Drosophila melanogaster: one gene and its partners. The protein of the gene in region 3 purifies or fractionates together with the protein of the main gene of each other region. This does not show direct contact. Each region holds a gene or a part of one and is shown on either strand. Other genes may lie near its edges.

Region 1 (7,555 bases), 1.9 Mb from region 3:
TCAGGATCAATAGCCGAGTCTATCTGGCCTCTCTCCGTATGAACGTCGAGATCCCAGGAATTTTAAAAAGCTAGAACACAGAAAAAGACGCAGCGCAAGTTGGTTGACCCATGTTGCCACGCACACAAACCTGCCAGCCCCACTCTAACGCCCTAAAACCTCCCAAAAATGCCGCGCAAAACACACATTTTTAAACCTTTTTTCGATATTTTTTTCATAATTCTATTAGTCGCTAAAATTTATATCGATATGCCAAAAACTTTTTACACGCCTACTCTAACGACCAAAAGCCGTCAACCCGGTCACGCCCACAATTTTGAACAATTTGTAAACTTTAACCGTTGCATGCTCTAAAGGTTAAAGTATTGCCTTCAAATCCTCGAAAATGAATATTTTATTCGATATTTACGGCAATAACCAACCCTTTGAGAGTGTTCAGTCAAAGACACTACAATAATTCTTTATTATTCTAGAGACTTTGGTTCAGTAGAACAGTTGCGATAGCAACCTTTGTAATCAAAAATCGTTTCAGCAGGTAAAACGCGCCATTCCAACTGGATTTTCTATACATATATATTTTATTTTCTATAACCTATTTCTATTGTTTCAAACTATATGGGCGTTCATCAATTACTGTGCGGATTAAGTTTGCAATGTTTTCAGAAAAATAAGTTGTTTCGTCGAAATCCGAATCCGCGCAAGTCTGAGCCAATGTAGTAGCGTAGAGCACTTGTTTTCGATTCGTCAACGTTTCATTATTTTGTCAATAAATGACAGAATTGACTGCTGTTGCCTTTGTGGCAATTCACTGACTGTTAAATTAATATGTATCCTCATTACGTGGCAAGACAAGTTAGTATTATTCGCACTTGTTTGGTGTCTTGCCCCACTTAATACATTTGTCTGTCTTGCCATTAGCCGATTAGCTTAGCAAGATCTTTCCCTGCAAATGGTGATGGGTAAAACAGAAAAATCTAACATCGATGTCCGAAAATTTCGATGTTTCCGATTTTTTTTTAAATATCTATGTAGCGCTATCTCCGATGTTTCTTCCAGCTCTATTTTGTAGTTTGCGAGATCACAGCCTTCAGTCAGACAGACCGGACCTGATCGAATAGTGTTTATGATCAGGAGTACACTATACTTTAAGGTTCGGAAACACATTTTTATGCCGACTACAAACATACCCTTAACCTTTCTAGCATACGACATTGCTCTAAAACATTTTAAAATTCCGAAATCTCCTTTCTTATTATAACAATTTTAGAAAATTATTTGTTTCTTTTTATTGGAAATGTAATTGCAGAACATTTGTATGCCGACTACAAACATACTCTTAACCTTTCTAGCATACGACATTGCTCTAAAACATTTTAAAATTCTTAAATCTTATTTCTTATAAAAATTTTAGAAAATTATTGTTTGTATTTATTGGAAATGAAATTGCAGAATGGAATGGTTCTATCGTTGCATGTCAACATAGAAACTGGTATATGGTATATAAACTGGTATATTGTATATTATTATATACAATAATGCTTAGCGCTTTTTTCATCGTTCCGTGTTCATCACCAGTTGATTGTCGCTATTTTGACGGAAATATTTTAAGTATGCACACAAATTTACCGCGAAACCAGGTGTTTTTGTACAACAATTGTTCAAAGTTAAAGAAAACTAAAAAACACGGGTAGAAGGTTGCAACAATTAATACAGGAAAATTACAAAATTCCAAGGTAAGCCAAGCGTGCATTGTAAAATAAAGGTAAAAACGTTGCGCAATATCAAACATTTATATTATTGCGAATTTAATGTTCTTGAACTTAAGCGGTCCTCCCCGTACCATATAATTTATTTTTAAATCAAAAAAGTAAACAATTTCCAACCGTTCCAAACATTTTTAATGCCTGGTTTAAGTTGTCGTAATTAATCGGCACATCCTTAACTCGAAAATTGCTTAATTCATAAGAATGACCAACTAATGGCATAGTTTTTTGTTTACAATAATTCTTGAAAACATTGCTATTGAACGTACATATTTTTGTATCAAATGCAAATTCATTCTGTATGTATGTATGTATGTATGTATGCATTTACATATGTGTGTATATCTTATGTGGTCGGAAACCTTTTCAAATTTTCATCGGGAAAAGACAAATTTTATAGTTACATTAAATTAAAGCAGGCCTTTAAAATTTGGATTCATTGTCAATGTTTCGGCTAGTCGGATTTGTCAAACAGCAGCCACTCGTGTATTACTAATTACTAACTTGTTAATCCGCTTTTGTTCTCGTATCCCCAAAGGTTTGTTTGGATGTAAAGTAATGGTCTTGGTGTGCAATGAGTGGTTAAAAAATAATGTTGATGAAGACCAGACGTCAAGTTCATTATCGCCGACGCCAGCATCAGGAGCAGTCGGATCAACGGCATTAAACAGAACTGGCACAACCGACACGGCCACGGAATTACCTCAGACGACCAGATATCCATCCGGGGAAGAACCTGCTGTGAAGCCAGAGGAGGCGCAATACGCTTTAAACATGGAAACTGAAAAAAATTTGGAGCAGGACAATTTCTTTCATATAATGGACATAAAAGAAGATATGGCTGATAGTAACAACGAGGCGTCCACGAAGAACCAGGAAAATAATAATATGGAACTTTGTGATTCCAACACAGTATGTATTGACCGACGTCCGGCTGAAGTTTCCCAGCATGCTATGAATATGGCCATGAACTCTGTGCTGAATGCAAATAACACCGGGGTTGGAGTTCGAGTAACTACTGCCTGCAGTCTGTTTAGCCCACTAGGAGTACTAAACAATAGTGCTTTACAAAGGGAGGTGGCATCGGAATGCGGCACTTTACAAGTCTCTTCAGTGCCCCCAACTTCTGGCGTAGATCTAGACATAGGATTGGAGTCTGCCCCAACGCCATGTAAGGGTGCAGCAAAAATCGTACTCCTATGTGAACCAAAGTCGCACAAGTTTGAAACGAGATCTATATTGCTGCAGCCCAACCAGGATTGCAAGGTGGGCCGCCTTATAGCTAAAAGTAAGGCGGGTGAGGGGAACGCTATATTTGACTGTAAAGTATTGTCAAGAAACCATGCGATTTTGTGGTACACTCCAGACGGTAAATTCTGGGTCAAAGACACAAAATCCAGCAACGGTACCTTTATTAACGACAACAAGTTGGGTAGTGATCCAGCGGAACTACATTATGGCGATATTGTGAAGTTCGGCGTTGAGGTAATTGAGAATTCACGTCAGGAGGTACACGGGTGTATCCTGGCCCGTGTCGCCCTCTTTCTACCCAATGGACAAGAGGCCATTTCAGTTGAGGCAGAGCAGATGATGTTGACTGTGCCTAACCGAATCAGCTTTGATGAAGTGCAGCGCCTAAGCTCGTTCCTCCAAGAGGCTGCACAAAGGGAAAAATCTCTGAAAGCTAAATTAAGCAGCTTGCAAGGCGTCCTTGATAACACCAGAAAGAACTCTGCGATGTGTTGGCAAAGCATGATCACTGAAGACCAATTGCTTCACAAGATAAATATTCTGGAAAAGAAACTGCAAATGATGGAAAAGAACATTCCAGAGAATGCACTGCGAAACGAGGTAAGTCCCATTAGCGACCGATTAAAAAATTAAGCCTTTGTTTATTTTTTACAATTTTATCCTGTGATCCTGGACAACTATGAAAGCAAGAATACTGGTATTAAGCATGAAACTAAGCAAAACCTCAAAAACCTTTCACACGAACAATTAAAAAAGTTTGTTCATAAATACGTACACACCTTTCCGTTAGCCTGTATAACGGAATCTCTAAAAAACCATTTTTGCACACTTGTGTTTTCCTTTTAATTTAAAGATTTCAATATGCAAATTTTTAATAAATCTGTTTCCCAAACCGGACAAGATAAAATAAATTGAACCAAATCTTATAATGAATTGTCTTAACTACAAACATAATCAAAATGTTTAATGCACAAAAATTAAGCAAATCTGAATCTAAGCAATTTAATTCGGTCCCATCAAATTATATCTAGTGGTTGTGCCTTTAAAACAAAGCAGTATATAATGGCTTTAGAGTTTCATTTTGTTATTCATTCATTGATTCCTTCATTTTTATTATTTGAATACGCATTAATTATAATCATTTGTATAAGGTGTATTGTATTTTAATTGTGAGCAAATGGTATTTTGGTGCCACCGATTGGTGCCAGTGGAGTAATTTGTTATACATATTTTGTAAACGTTACTTTTTATTTGTTTCTAATTTTTAGGTTAAAGTATATTTTCTCTTTTTTTCTCAGTTTTTATATAACAGAAAAAATAAATCCTTAAACAAATTGTGCTTTGCTGACCCAATCCTCACATTTGATACGAACAGATCATTGCTATTATTTTTGTACAAAATAAGGGACTCCTATTTGATACCAAAAGCTGTTTCCCACCCCACACTTTCTAATTTACAGAATTAAAAGAGTTATATTCTAATGTATATACAGTTTGTCAAGAAACTGTTTACACACTGTGAAATAAGTTGAATTTTTGACTTTAAAGCTAAAAATAAAGGGTTTTTTGCTTAATTAAACGCAATTTTTTTATAAAATATAATTAAACAATATTTATTTTACTTATAAATCAAAAAACAAATTAAAAATATTAAATATACAAGAAAATAAACAACAAATTCCAAGTTTACACACTTTTGAGACTGTCAAGAAACTCTTTACACATTTTGTTTTCCTACTTTGTTTTGTTCTTTTTCTTAGAACGAACTCGATTTTTCCGTTATTTTTGGCTTTGCATTGCTTTTTACAACGCTTCTATTGAAATTTTGTTGACTTTGCTTGTGAAATTTTGCTGATCAAACGTGCTTAAAGCGAATTATTAAATTTAATAAAATGCCTGGAAAGAGATTAACTTTTAAAGTTACCCAATTAATAAACTATAACCACCAGTTGGGAAAATCTTTTCCAGAATTAGTATAAATGTTTCCTGTATCCCGTAAGACCGTCTACAATGTTTTAAAAGGCTCGGAAAAAGAGGGCAGGCTTGAACCTAAGAGTGGTGGTGGGCGGAAAATTAAAATTAAAAAGCGTGTAGACCGCTTTATTATGCGAATAGTGATTGCGAACCCCCGAATCTCGGTCAGATCACTTGCTCTGGATATCAGGCAAGAATGTCACCTAGCTGTGTCACACGAAACTGTGCTCCAAGTCATCCTACGCCATAGGTACTCTTCAAGAGTTGCAAGGAAAAACCCTTTGCTGTCAGATGCCAATATTGAAAAGCGTCATTTATTCGCTGTGAGCATGATAGATCATGCGGAAGAGTACTGGGATGACGTCATATTTGGTGACGAAACAAAAATGATGCTCTTTTATAACGACGGGCCAAGCAGAGTATGGCGCAAACCGTTGAGTGCGCTAGAAAAACAAAATATCATTCCAACGATAAAATTTGGAAAAATGTCACTGATGGTGTGGGGCTGTATCACCAGCCGTGGAGTGGGAAAACTAGCCTTAATTGAGAGCACAATAAATGCCGTGCAATATCTAGAAATGTTAGAAAACAAATTTGAAGGCCAGTGTAGAAAAAATTAGTCTGGTTAGCAACAACAAGCCAAATTTTAAGTTTTACCAAGACATGATCAGAAACATAAAGAGTGCAATGTACGCACCTGGCGCCTTAATAACTGTGGTAAAGTGATCGATACGCCCCCTCAGAGTCCTGATCTGAACCCCATTGAAAATTTGTGGACCTACTTAAAGAAGAAGGTGGCAAAAAGGGACCTAAAACACAACAACAGCTTATGACTGTAATAGTCGAAGAGTGTGAAAAGATCCCGTTTGAATATGACCTGCAAAAACTTGTCCAATCCATGAAAAAAAGGCTTCAACTTGTAGCTAAAGCCAATGGGGAACATACTACATACCAAAACTTTTAAAATTTTAATAAAATAATTAAAAAATTTAGGATTAAACTTCGATTTAGTGTTTTGTGTAAAGAGTTTCTTGACAGTCTCAAAAGTGTGTAAACTTGGAATTTGTTGTTTATTTTCTTGTATATTTAATATTTTTAATTTGTTTTTTGATTTATAAGTAAAATAAATATTGTTTAATAATATTTTATAAAAAAATTGCGTTTAATTAAGCAAAAAACCCTTTATTTTTAGCTTTAAAGTCAAAAAGTCAACTTATTTTACAGTGTGTAAACAGTTTCTTGACAAACTGTACATACATGTGCTCTAGGGCTCTAAAACAAAGAACTCATACAGAACGGTAAAAATACAGATAGGCAAGCAAATTGAGACCATACGAATATGCGATTTTAAACTTGTGCGTGAAATAAGACAAAACAACAAAAAGGTACCGAATACAGGAAATATTCTATAGCTCGAAAATTCAACCTTTTAGCTTTTTGAAAGAAATTAATATACCCTTATAAATGGGTTTAAAAAACTCGAAGAGGACCTTTTTCCGACTTAATGGTCAGTAGCTCCTTTGAATATTAAAATTTTGTCTGCAAAAAATTTTAAGTATATTTTGGTAAAATTTGATTTTTTTTTTTTAATATTTCTCTCTTTGTCTTCAATAGATTGTAAAGCTTCTTGAGGACAAAACAACGTACCAGTTGACTGCCAAAGAGGCCCTGCGGAAGGTCTACCAGGAACGCTGCGATGCTATGCAAATGCTCTCTAAGATGGAGATGGCCTACGCCACTTCTGAAAACGAGTGCGGCATACTTCGCGCTCAAGTTCTAACACTAAAGCAGACGCTGACTGATTTCAATACCCGGTTAGAGGAACTTCAGCAGGAGTACATGGAATTCAAGAAGGAGTCAGTGCGCCAAGAACAAGAGGCTAAAGAGCAAGAATCACGCAGCTTAGAGGTGCTAAATGGAAAGCTGACGACGCAGGAGCTCGAGCTTAAGGAGCTTCGTCTGCAGGTCTCGCGAATCCATCGCGATTTATCTGAGTCTGATACTGAACATTTGAAGGAGCGAATTGTCTTAAAAAACTTAGATACAATAAATCTTGACGATTATGACCACGCTCAAGATAGAGCGCTAAATGAAAGGGATGATAATGAAAGTTCTGACGATGATATTTTGTCTGTGTCACCAGCTAAAAATGTGTTGTCTGAAACGAAAAAAAGGGTAATGCTTATAGCAGTCTTAATGCTATTATATATTAATATATTCCTATTTAATTCTAGAAGCTAAAACTAAGTAATCCCGATTTAGAAGAAGGCAATTATAAATCGAACGTCTTAAGATTGCTAAAGAACTCCGATCTTGGCAAGGGAGAAGAAGGATCTTCAGTGCTTAAAGCTATTTTTAATGGTGACGATGAAGCCTTTGAATGCAAAGTTAAGGAGGAGGAGGATATGGCAAACGATTCAGTTCCAACAGAGTTCGTTAGCAGAAATACATCCGAAATCGTGGATCACTTTAAAAACCATTCTTCAACTACACATACAATTTTAGAGGATTCGGCTGCAACGAAATTGTCAGCCCCTAATGCGGAAAGTAAGGAAAAGCTTGTAGAC
Region 2 (3,665 bases), on a different chromosome or scaffold from region 3:
TTGCTCCGAAACATTCAGACTTTCCAAAGAGTCTGCTTTGCCCAATTGGCTAGATATTTGCGCAATAATCTCATTGCGAGAGATCGGCTCAATGACCGACTCATCCAGACTAATGTTTATCTCCATGCTCGACTCATGGTTCTGGGCCTCGAAGTATTCTCCAAAGGTGTCCAGCAGATTGAGTTTGGACAAGTCCGGACTTGAGAAGCTATTACGCTGAGACTTGTTCAACTGGGATGTGCGCTTTACCGGAAGCACAGGCTCCGGCGTGGGGGCATTCTCATACAGTGGCAGGACCTCATCGCTGGGTTCATTGGCCACCTCGCTGGTGCTGCCGGAACGCTTTTGACGTGAACTCCCGAACAGGTTGTCCAGCATGTTCTTGTATTTCTTCTTCTTGGCCAGCTCCGATTCGGGATTGGTGCTGGACCGCGCAATCTCGCCAAGCTGGGCGCACTCAAAAGTGTTTATTCGCTGACGGTAAGGATGTGCGGGCAGCGGTGGCGGTGAAGGAGTCTCCATGACTGACGGCTTCATCTCTTCGTAAATGCCGGATGCGATTGAGACGCGGGAGATGCGGCTGCCGTCAAAAATCTCCTCGTATATTTGCGAGACTCGCGGAGAGAGAGCGCTAGCGTCGAGGGTTTCCGGCAGGTTAGGCAGTGGGCCCAGACCTCCGGGACCCCTGCTCAGCCGGCGCTGTTCTAGAAAGACCTGGCGATAAAGTTCCAGATTCTTAATCGACTTCCGCATCCATTTCATGTGACGTCGGCAGGATGTCTCCGTTTCCAGGGCGAAATAGATGAAGCAGTCCCGCCGATTTTGCGTCCAAAACAGCCCGTACGAGTGCTGCTTCGTGCGCGAGGTAGCCAGGCTCAAGCTGACGCCCGGAACGTTTACGGAGACGCTAATGGGTTTAGCGGGGTGACACTCTTGGGAGTGAGACTCGGTCTCCATGGCCTGGAAACTGAGCCGCAGGAAGCAGGGCACACACTTAATGGCCTCTATTTTCACTTGGCAGCGGGTCCATGTCTTGTAACGCAGCGCCACTGGTCGCTTATCGTGTGTATCCAGCTTGGCGTCCATAGTCATGGAGATTTCGTTGTGGTCCATCTTGGGGCTACTGCTACGTGGTGGGGCGGATGGAGGTGCGGTGAATGAGTTGCGAGTGAAAAATAAAAAAGTAAACGATCTATATCCGCTACTTCGAGAATTACATCTTTTTTGCGACTGGGTGGAGCTCTTATCGGCTATTCTCTTATCGCACGTTTATCCTTCGTGTCCTCGTGACGTGACTGGCGTTGCCACCTGGCGGAATATCACAGAAATCGCGTTTCTAGAAGACCAACAAATGAATTTATAACTTCAATATACATCAATCAAACTTAAGGTGCTCAGCCTAAGCTACACAGCTCTTTTAAGTTCTTTATTTATACTTTTAAATGCTAAATGCTTACATGTTATTTGGACATCTTGAGTACTAGCTTAATAAGAAGGTAGTATCCAAGCAATTCTTATTTATAATCTCTTAACTAATTTACACAATCTTTTAAATTATTTTCAAGATCCATAACCAGGTCTAAAACCAAACAAATAAAAACTAAAATCCTATTTATACTTCGCTTTATAGCTATTTTAATATTTATTATTAAAAAACGCTAATGATGTTTTCAAAAATGTTAGGCATTTCCTTTTAGTATTTAAAATTCTACATCCGACATTGGGGTATATTTGACTTCTACTTGGCTGAGTATGAATTATGATTTGCAAAAGAAGTAAAAATTTAACTTTAAAATTAGGTATCTGTCTAACTGTTTTTGTCGTTTAAAACACAGGGTAGGTATGGTTTTCTTTCAATTTAAAAACATCGCTAGAAAACTGTTTCCAAAAAGTAAGCTGCATTTTTTGTTTTTAGTTTTGCTTTATACAGAAATTTTAATACTATACTTTTTTGATAAGCATCCACCAGCAAGAATACAGCAAGCTTTTATTTAATATTTTATTAACATAATTATTTAATATGAATGATTGGTAATATTTTGAAGTACTCTACTACATAGCAGTCGTAGGATTTGTTATTTTTCACATTATTTTTGTAGGTTTGTAATTATATTTTAAGGGATATCTTAATTTTACATTCCTAAAATAATTTGGTAACTTTTTGCGATAGTCGTGACACGAAATCGAGGGATGAAATTGCATGTGATGCAGCCCCTTGAGCAAACAGTGTTGGACAACAGCGCGCGGCATCGGCATTTTTTGGCGGCCATTACAACGAATGGAAAACTGTGAAGCGTTGCGCACAAATTAATGCATAAACAACAGACAAGCAAGTAGCACACGCTCTGCCGCCTGACAACCAAACCCACCGAAAGCACAATACACATCTCCGAAGATGTCTTCGAGCGCTGCCAGGGTCTACATCCAAGTCGAGACAGAGGCCGAGCAGAAGGAGCACCTGAAGCAGCAGAGACAGACCCTGAAACCCTTGCAGGGCAACGTAAACGATAAGGAGAACCTCACTGGTTCAGGGCGCGCCTCCATCGTGGATCAGCTGAGTCGTCTGAAGGCCGGCGTCCAAGTCGCGCCCAAGTACGGCAAGCGCAAATGCGTGGACACGGCGCCCGCGATTTCCACAAAGGATGCGGATACCCAGACTGATGCTGAGGCCGTTCCGCTTGGCAATGCTGACAAGCCCATCACGGCAGAGGATCTCACTAGCACAGCCGAACCCGGCGAGAACTACTACAAGCTGCTGGCCGAGCAGCGGCGACTGGCGCTGGAGGACTCGCTCACCGAAAACCGCCATCTGCACGAGCGCATCGAGGGGCTTGAGGAGGAGATGGACACTATGCGCCAGGAACTGGACGAGGCCAAGAATTTGGTGGAGGTCCTGAAGGAGATCTGCGAAGAGGACAACAGCGAGGTGGAGGAGGACGACACTACGGGTGACGAGGACAAGGTCAACGCCTAGGCTACACACCAATCACACGTTTTTTTTAGTCTAAGGTTTTACATTTAGTTGTAGTTAAATATCGCGTTTATATCCCTGTTCGTCGTCAGCCAACACAACGGCTGGTCTAATTGTACGCCAGCAATATATTTACTTGTTACACGCCAGTTATAATCCTAATAAAGTTTTACATTTGCACAATTGCACACAATATTTAATTCGTATTCCTGTATTTTATGTGCAACTTATATAAACCATTTCGCATCCATATGCTAGTTTAGATATGCTCTTTTCCTTTCATTAATTCTACATCAAAACAAATGTGTTTATTAGCTTACATCAATGCGGATGGATTTCAATGTGTGGGGAGCTAACGCAAAAATAAAATACTCAAGGTACAACATATTTTTGAGACAAATATTTATTGGATGTAAAACTGTGAACTGCTACTTAAGCCAATCTGTAATAACTTCCTCGCTGTGGAAGTTATCCACGTCAAACTGCAATAAAGGAAGAGAAAAAGGTAAGTTTGGGAAGAGATACAAAGAACTAGTAACTCACCACAACGCACTCTTCGTAGGTGGGTACGGTGCCCACGATGTCTACATCGTTTACCACAGCGTTTATGTAAGCGGCATCTGCCTCGGCTGCCGCTATCAACACCGCAGTCTCGGAATCATCGGTCTCAGCGACGTGTGCAGCATCAGTTGAG
Region 3 (5,282 bases):
GATGGAAGAACTATAACTTGCAATTCAATTAACTCTGCAATACGATAACAAGCAAAGCGAATCATTTCATTTCGATTTAATCTTTAATTATATATACTTAAACGATGTAAGCCCAAAACAAACGTTTTTTCTATATCTGTCTTTTGAGCAAATTAGTTATACGCAAAACCAAACCGTATTTACATAAATGTATACAAAACAAATCGTATATTTTCATTGGTTTGAAATAAATACATAAAACAATTTAACTTGTTTTACTTGATATTTTAGGTGTCTGGGAATTGAAAGCTGCATTAAAATGTTTTGTCTGTTCTGCTTTGTAAAGATTATTTGTTTTTTCTATTACAAGTGTCTTAACCAAAGACATTTGGTTAACTTCTGAGAATCATAATTACTTATAAGTTAAATTCCAATTGGCAGTCTTATATATCAAACGTAAACTGACAGGAACGACGTAATGTTGTGCCTGCAGACAGGACAGCGGTCTTCTAAAAGGAGCACGAGCTGCAGGGAGCACTCTTTGCAGAGGCAGAGGTGCCGGCATGGCATGACTACTACGTTCCTGCTTTGAGCCATGCACACGACACAGCGTTCTGGACTCGCGGATCCTGCGTTCTCTGACACATACCAAACATTGTGTATGAAGTGTTGCAATTTATGATGGGTCCATAGGTAAACGCTTTGCGTCTTCGTCGAGATTTCAATGCGTCCACGTTGCAGCAGGTAGATGAGCATCAGGTACACATAGCGGCGGAACATATAGAGAACGAGGAGCAGGGCCAATCCTATCGAGGCCCGGAACGCACTGTTCAGCAAGCTCAAGCCATGGGCCACGATTGAGTGCACCACAAAGTCTAGGAGGCAGTCCCAGAGGAATAGTATGGCCCTCGGCAGCAGCATCAGCAGCCACAAGATGCCATCACCCAGATCGATGAGTAAGTTGCAGATGAATCGGGATATGCAGTGACCAAAATCGAGTACATTCTTGAGCCCGCCTTTGGTGCCGCCGTAGAAGTAGTCCGCCACATCTAGCGTGATGAGGCCCAAGTCGCGGATGCCCTCGTTGATATTCCTGACCGCGCATCTCAACAGATTCCATCCTTTCCTGCTGCCCTCCACCAAACAGAAGCCGACGAGGTAGCTGCCCCACAGGAAGTAGTACACGCCAGTAATCACTGCATCAATCACGCTGGCCAGCGGACGCAGCAGGACCAGATCCACAAGCTCCGCTGCCCGAATTAGAGCGTCCAGCATGGCGGGGGGCTCATACTGTCCTCGAATTAAGAAAAGGAAGAAACACAAAATCAAAACAAGAACGCCGGCCGCTTAGTGTGACCAGGCGGTGGTTGGTAATTAAAGCCAAGCTATCGTTGCGATAAGGTAGCGTCAAATAATTACTTATCTTAAATATTTGTATAATTAATATATATATTTATTTTTAACACCCCACACATTATCGGTTGCACTTCCTAGATATATTTAAACTTAGATGGTATCTGAACTTTAAATACGCCAAATTCTAGGGTAACTTAAATTAATAATGTTCAAACAAATATTTTGCTTCTGTGAGCAAAGGAATTACTAAGGAGACATAACAATTTGGATTTATTAATTTTGACAACTATAAATATGCGTAATAATTAATATGGGTATTCATGTACTGATCTATTATGATATTGCATGCTTCTTTCAAAGACAATGAAAGCTCAAAAATATAATTATACATCCGTGCATTTTGCTGGTATTTCAGAATCCAACAAGGTTTCCCCAAACAACTCGCGAGGGGTTATATAAGAAAGGCGAGCTTAAATCATAGCCCTATCTGAGCAGGAATCCCCCTAATGCGAATAATCCTATTATAAATTTATTTCCGGTTCTGCTAGGAAGTTCATTTCGGTTCTTTGTCTGCAGGTCGATTGTGTATAATAAAAAGCATTAATTAACTATTCGTACATGCAGTTGCGCCCTAGTACGTAGGGCTTTTTCTGCACTCGCTGCAATACCATACTTTTTGTTTTTGGGGATGAAACAGTAAAAAAGTTACTGTTGTAGCAGTTTTCCACCATTGAGAGGACATTTGCCAAGTAATTACTGTTTGAGTTTTGCTTTGCTCACAAAGCTCTGCTGCTAAATGAACTAAAATCGATTAAATCTTTAAATTTTCGCCAGAGTTCGCATCAAGCCCAAGCTTAGAAAGGTCCAAGTCCAAGATGGAGGAATCCAATCACGGTTCGGCTGGCTGTGAAAACGTATCGCAGTTCATGCTCGATGACCTACAATTGGCAGCAGAGCTGGGAAAAACGCTCCTGGAACGCAATAAGGAGCTGGAAACCTTCATCAAGGAGTACAAGATTAAGGGGGATGAGCAGGAACTGGAGATCTTGCATCTGCGCAAGCACATTAATGCGATGACCGAGGTGAATGATTCACGGCTTAAGGTCTACGAGCAGCTGGAAGTGGGCATTCAGGATCTGGAGCGTGCCAATCAGCGGCTAAATCTGGAGAAGAATCGGGACAAGAAGCAGATTAAGACGCTGACCACCAACACGGAAGTCCTGGAAGCCCGCTGCGAGGAACTGAGTCAACTTCTGAGCGATGCTCGGCAATCCCTGAGCACCGAGCGGCGGAAGGTGGATCAGTACCAGCAGGAACGCTATAGGATGCAGCATTCGACCGAGGGTTCTGTGTCCAGTCACAGCATTCAATCGCTGTGCAAGGAGCAGAGTGTTGAGTTCTCCAAACTAGATGTTATGGCCATAGCGAACTCGACAGGATTGGAGGATATCTCCTTCAGTAATGCCACCATGTGCGAGAGGACCGCCGTTAAGGGTGAAGACAACGAGGAATTGGTAAAGCTGCTCAGCGAAATGGAGGTGTTAAAACGTGACTTCTTGGCCGAACAGCAGCGGTGCACCGAGCTGGAGGAGCAGTTGGTGACCATAATCCAAGACAACCAAGGTCTGCAGACACGTCTGCTGGAGAACAGTGCCAATGAGGGAACAATGTCGATGCACGAGGAGTTCAGCCTCCTGGACGACGTGAGACAAGGCCAAATGTGTAGTCGCTGCCTGAGGGATATTAACGAAAGCAACACCAATATGGATGATCAATCCTCCATTGCCCCAACCGAAGAAATCTACGAAGATGACGATCGCAGCATACTAAGCGAAAGCACCTCGAAATGCGATAATAGTGGTGCGGATTATAAGGAACGCTTCCGGATTCCCGAGGACCTCAATCCCAACTCTAGCGACAAACCAAATCCTTATCGGGACCTAGTCGAGAAATATGAAGCTCTGGTGGAGGTGAAGAGAACCTCGAATGCGGTCAAGAGCAACTTCACCAGCAATCCAGATGGGAAGACCATGACCGAGTCCAGTCAAGGCAAAAAATCAGAAACAATTGTTAACAGCTCAAAGGAATCTGACCTTATGTTGGATTCAACACGTAAGCGCACTCCAACCGAGTTTTCGGAATCAGAAACTACATCGTCGGGATTCTCGGATGAAACTAGCAACAAGTCTACGCAAACTGACGAGCGACCGAGTTACTTCCTTTGCTCAATAAGTAATGGAAACGATTGTAAATTCAGTATTTATGACGACGTCAGCCCCATTGAATCTCATTTCCGTAATCGCCCGGAGTACAGGGAACTCTTCAAGGAGATATTTGGAGTGCTCAAGAAGGCAGCTGATAATAACGAAGAAGACAAGCTTCCGTCCCTGCATGACGACGCACAGATTACAGAAAAATTACCCTTGGTGGCGGCCAAAGTACCCCCGGTAACACCCGAGAGGGAGGAATCTCCAGATGACTTCATTGACGACACACAGAGCGTCGTATCCTCAGTTATATCCAACCAGTCCATTGCAATGTCCGAGTGCGTTACCAAACTGGAGCGGAAGACAGCCAAAAAACACATCTTTGATGTCCGAAACCAACAAAACCAATCGTCCCTAACGCAATCCACTTTGTTAAACAGCTCCTCGAAGGAAACAACTGTCGGCGAACCGAATTATAAACCCATAAGGGAGAATGGCCAGATACTTACTCCACTCAAGCGCGAACCACTCGAATATCTAACCGTAGGTGTCGGAATCAAGAAGAAGAACCGACGAAAGCACCGAAACCAAAGCTCATCTGGAGATCGCATCGAATTGTTTAACTCCCGGGAATTTACTCCCAGGAACAGTCCTCTGGCCATGAACAACCGTGGTGGTGGACAAGGGAGCTCAAAGATGTGTACGGATACATTGAATGCTGAATTCGGACGCAGTAACCGCAGACGGACAACTCCATCCTCAAGCAACTGGAATGGCTCTCCCATGGTGATCTATAACAAGAATATGAATACTCCCCAAACTTCTCGGGGCCGAGTAATAGAGCTCAATGGCGTCGAGTTTTATCATAACACGGTATCGCAAGACTTACATAAACTTAAAAAGTTAGACTTATCCTACGCCGAAGTTTTGCGCCGGGCCGATGCCGGCGAACATGGACCCACAAGATCACATTCCCAGCGACAGCAACACAACGGAGCCAACATTCGCAAGAGTCATCATCATCAGTTTCGTCAAAAGTAAACTTGTTTAGAGAATGTAAATAAGCAATTAAACAGTGCATTCTAGCCATAGGGCATTCTACCATTTTTAAATTGTGTGTGCCATGCAGTCTAGTCCGCTTTTTCATGTATAGACAGTTAAATAACAATAACTAAATAACTATAATCGGAAATTTAATTTTATTTCAGCATGATAAAATAAATAATTTAATGACCTACAGAAATCTTACTCTTTCACGATATTCAGCCAAGTTTCAATAGGAATATATGTAGTTGCTTTACAAATTCAGATATAAAAAAGTAAACATTTATTGTTAACTTACAAAGTAAAGGCAAATAAAATATTCTTGCACTTTCATGATATGCCCGTCTAACTACTTTCCAGACTTCCGTTGGTAATGCCCAGTTTGCTAAGCAAACTTATTATATCGCTGTTCGTTCTCATGACAGCCATAACTTCCTGTTGCTGCTGCTGCATGACCCTTAGCCGATTCCGCTCCTCTATCTTGGCCAGCTGATTATTGTTGTTTATGGTCTTTGTGTCCACATCCAGCTTCAGCTCCGACTTAACGTGATACAACTCATCGCGTATTCCGTTCAACTTTCTTTCGCAATCGCGCACGTCCTTCTCCAAAATTTGAGTTTTAAGGTAGACGGTCTGAGCCAACTTATACCAGTCCGCCAGGCACTCTGCGATTTGTGCCACTGTCGGATTTACGTT

The links. Proteins that work in one complex are often made in the same cells at the same time.
Region 1: the proteins of Cen (region 3) and Slmap purify together in Drosophila melanogaster (affinity purification with mass spectrometry, with the first as the bait; one large-scale study listed by BioGRID). This does not show direct contact.
Region 2: the proteins of Cen (region 3) and geminin purify together in Drosophila melanogaster (affinity purification with mass spectrometry, with the first as the bait; one large-scale study listed by BioGRID). This does not show direct contact.

What each region holds. Positions count from the first base shown.
Region 1 is NT_033779.5:22,577,520-22,585,074, forward strand, and holds the start of Slmap (sarcolemma associated protein), read left to right. Parts: upstream 1-1,552; 5' UTR 1,553-1,733; intron 1,734-2,230; exon of another isoform or gene 2,231-2,301; 5' UTR 2,302-2,321; coding exon 2,322-3,614; intron 3,615-6,602; coding exon 6,603-7,163; intron 7,164-7,222; coding exon 7,223-7,555.
Region 2 is NT_033778.4:6,654,960-6,658,624, reverse strand, and holds geminin (geminin), read left to right. Parts: upstream 1-2,030; 5' UTR 2,031-2,099; intron 2,100-2,170; 5' UTR 2,171-2,395; coding exon 2,396-2,974; 3' UTR 2,975-3,162; downstream 3,163-3,665. Other genes in the region: sced (scrambled), read right to left, coding at 1-1,113; Opbp (Optix-binding protein), read right to left, coding at 3,400-3,453, 3,515-3,665.
Region 3 is NT_033779.5:20,678,421-20,683,702, reverse strand, and holds Cen (centrocortin), read left to right. Parts: upstream 1-1,856; 5' UTR 1,857-2,084; exon of another isoform or gene 2,085-2,169; 5' UTR 2,170-2,210; coding exon 2,211-4,583; 3' UTR 4,584-4,782; downstream 4,783-5,282. Other genes in the region: CG2617 (uncharacterized protein), read right to left, coding at 430-1,254; IKKepsilon (I-kappaB kinase epsilon), read right to left, coding at 4,932-5,282.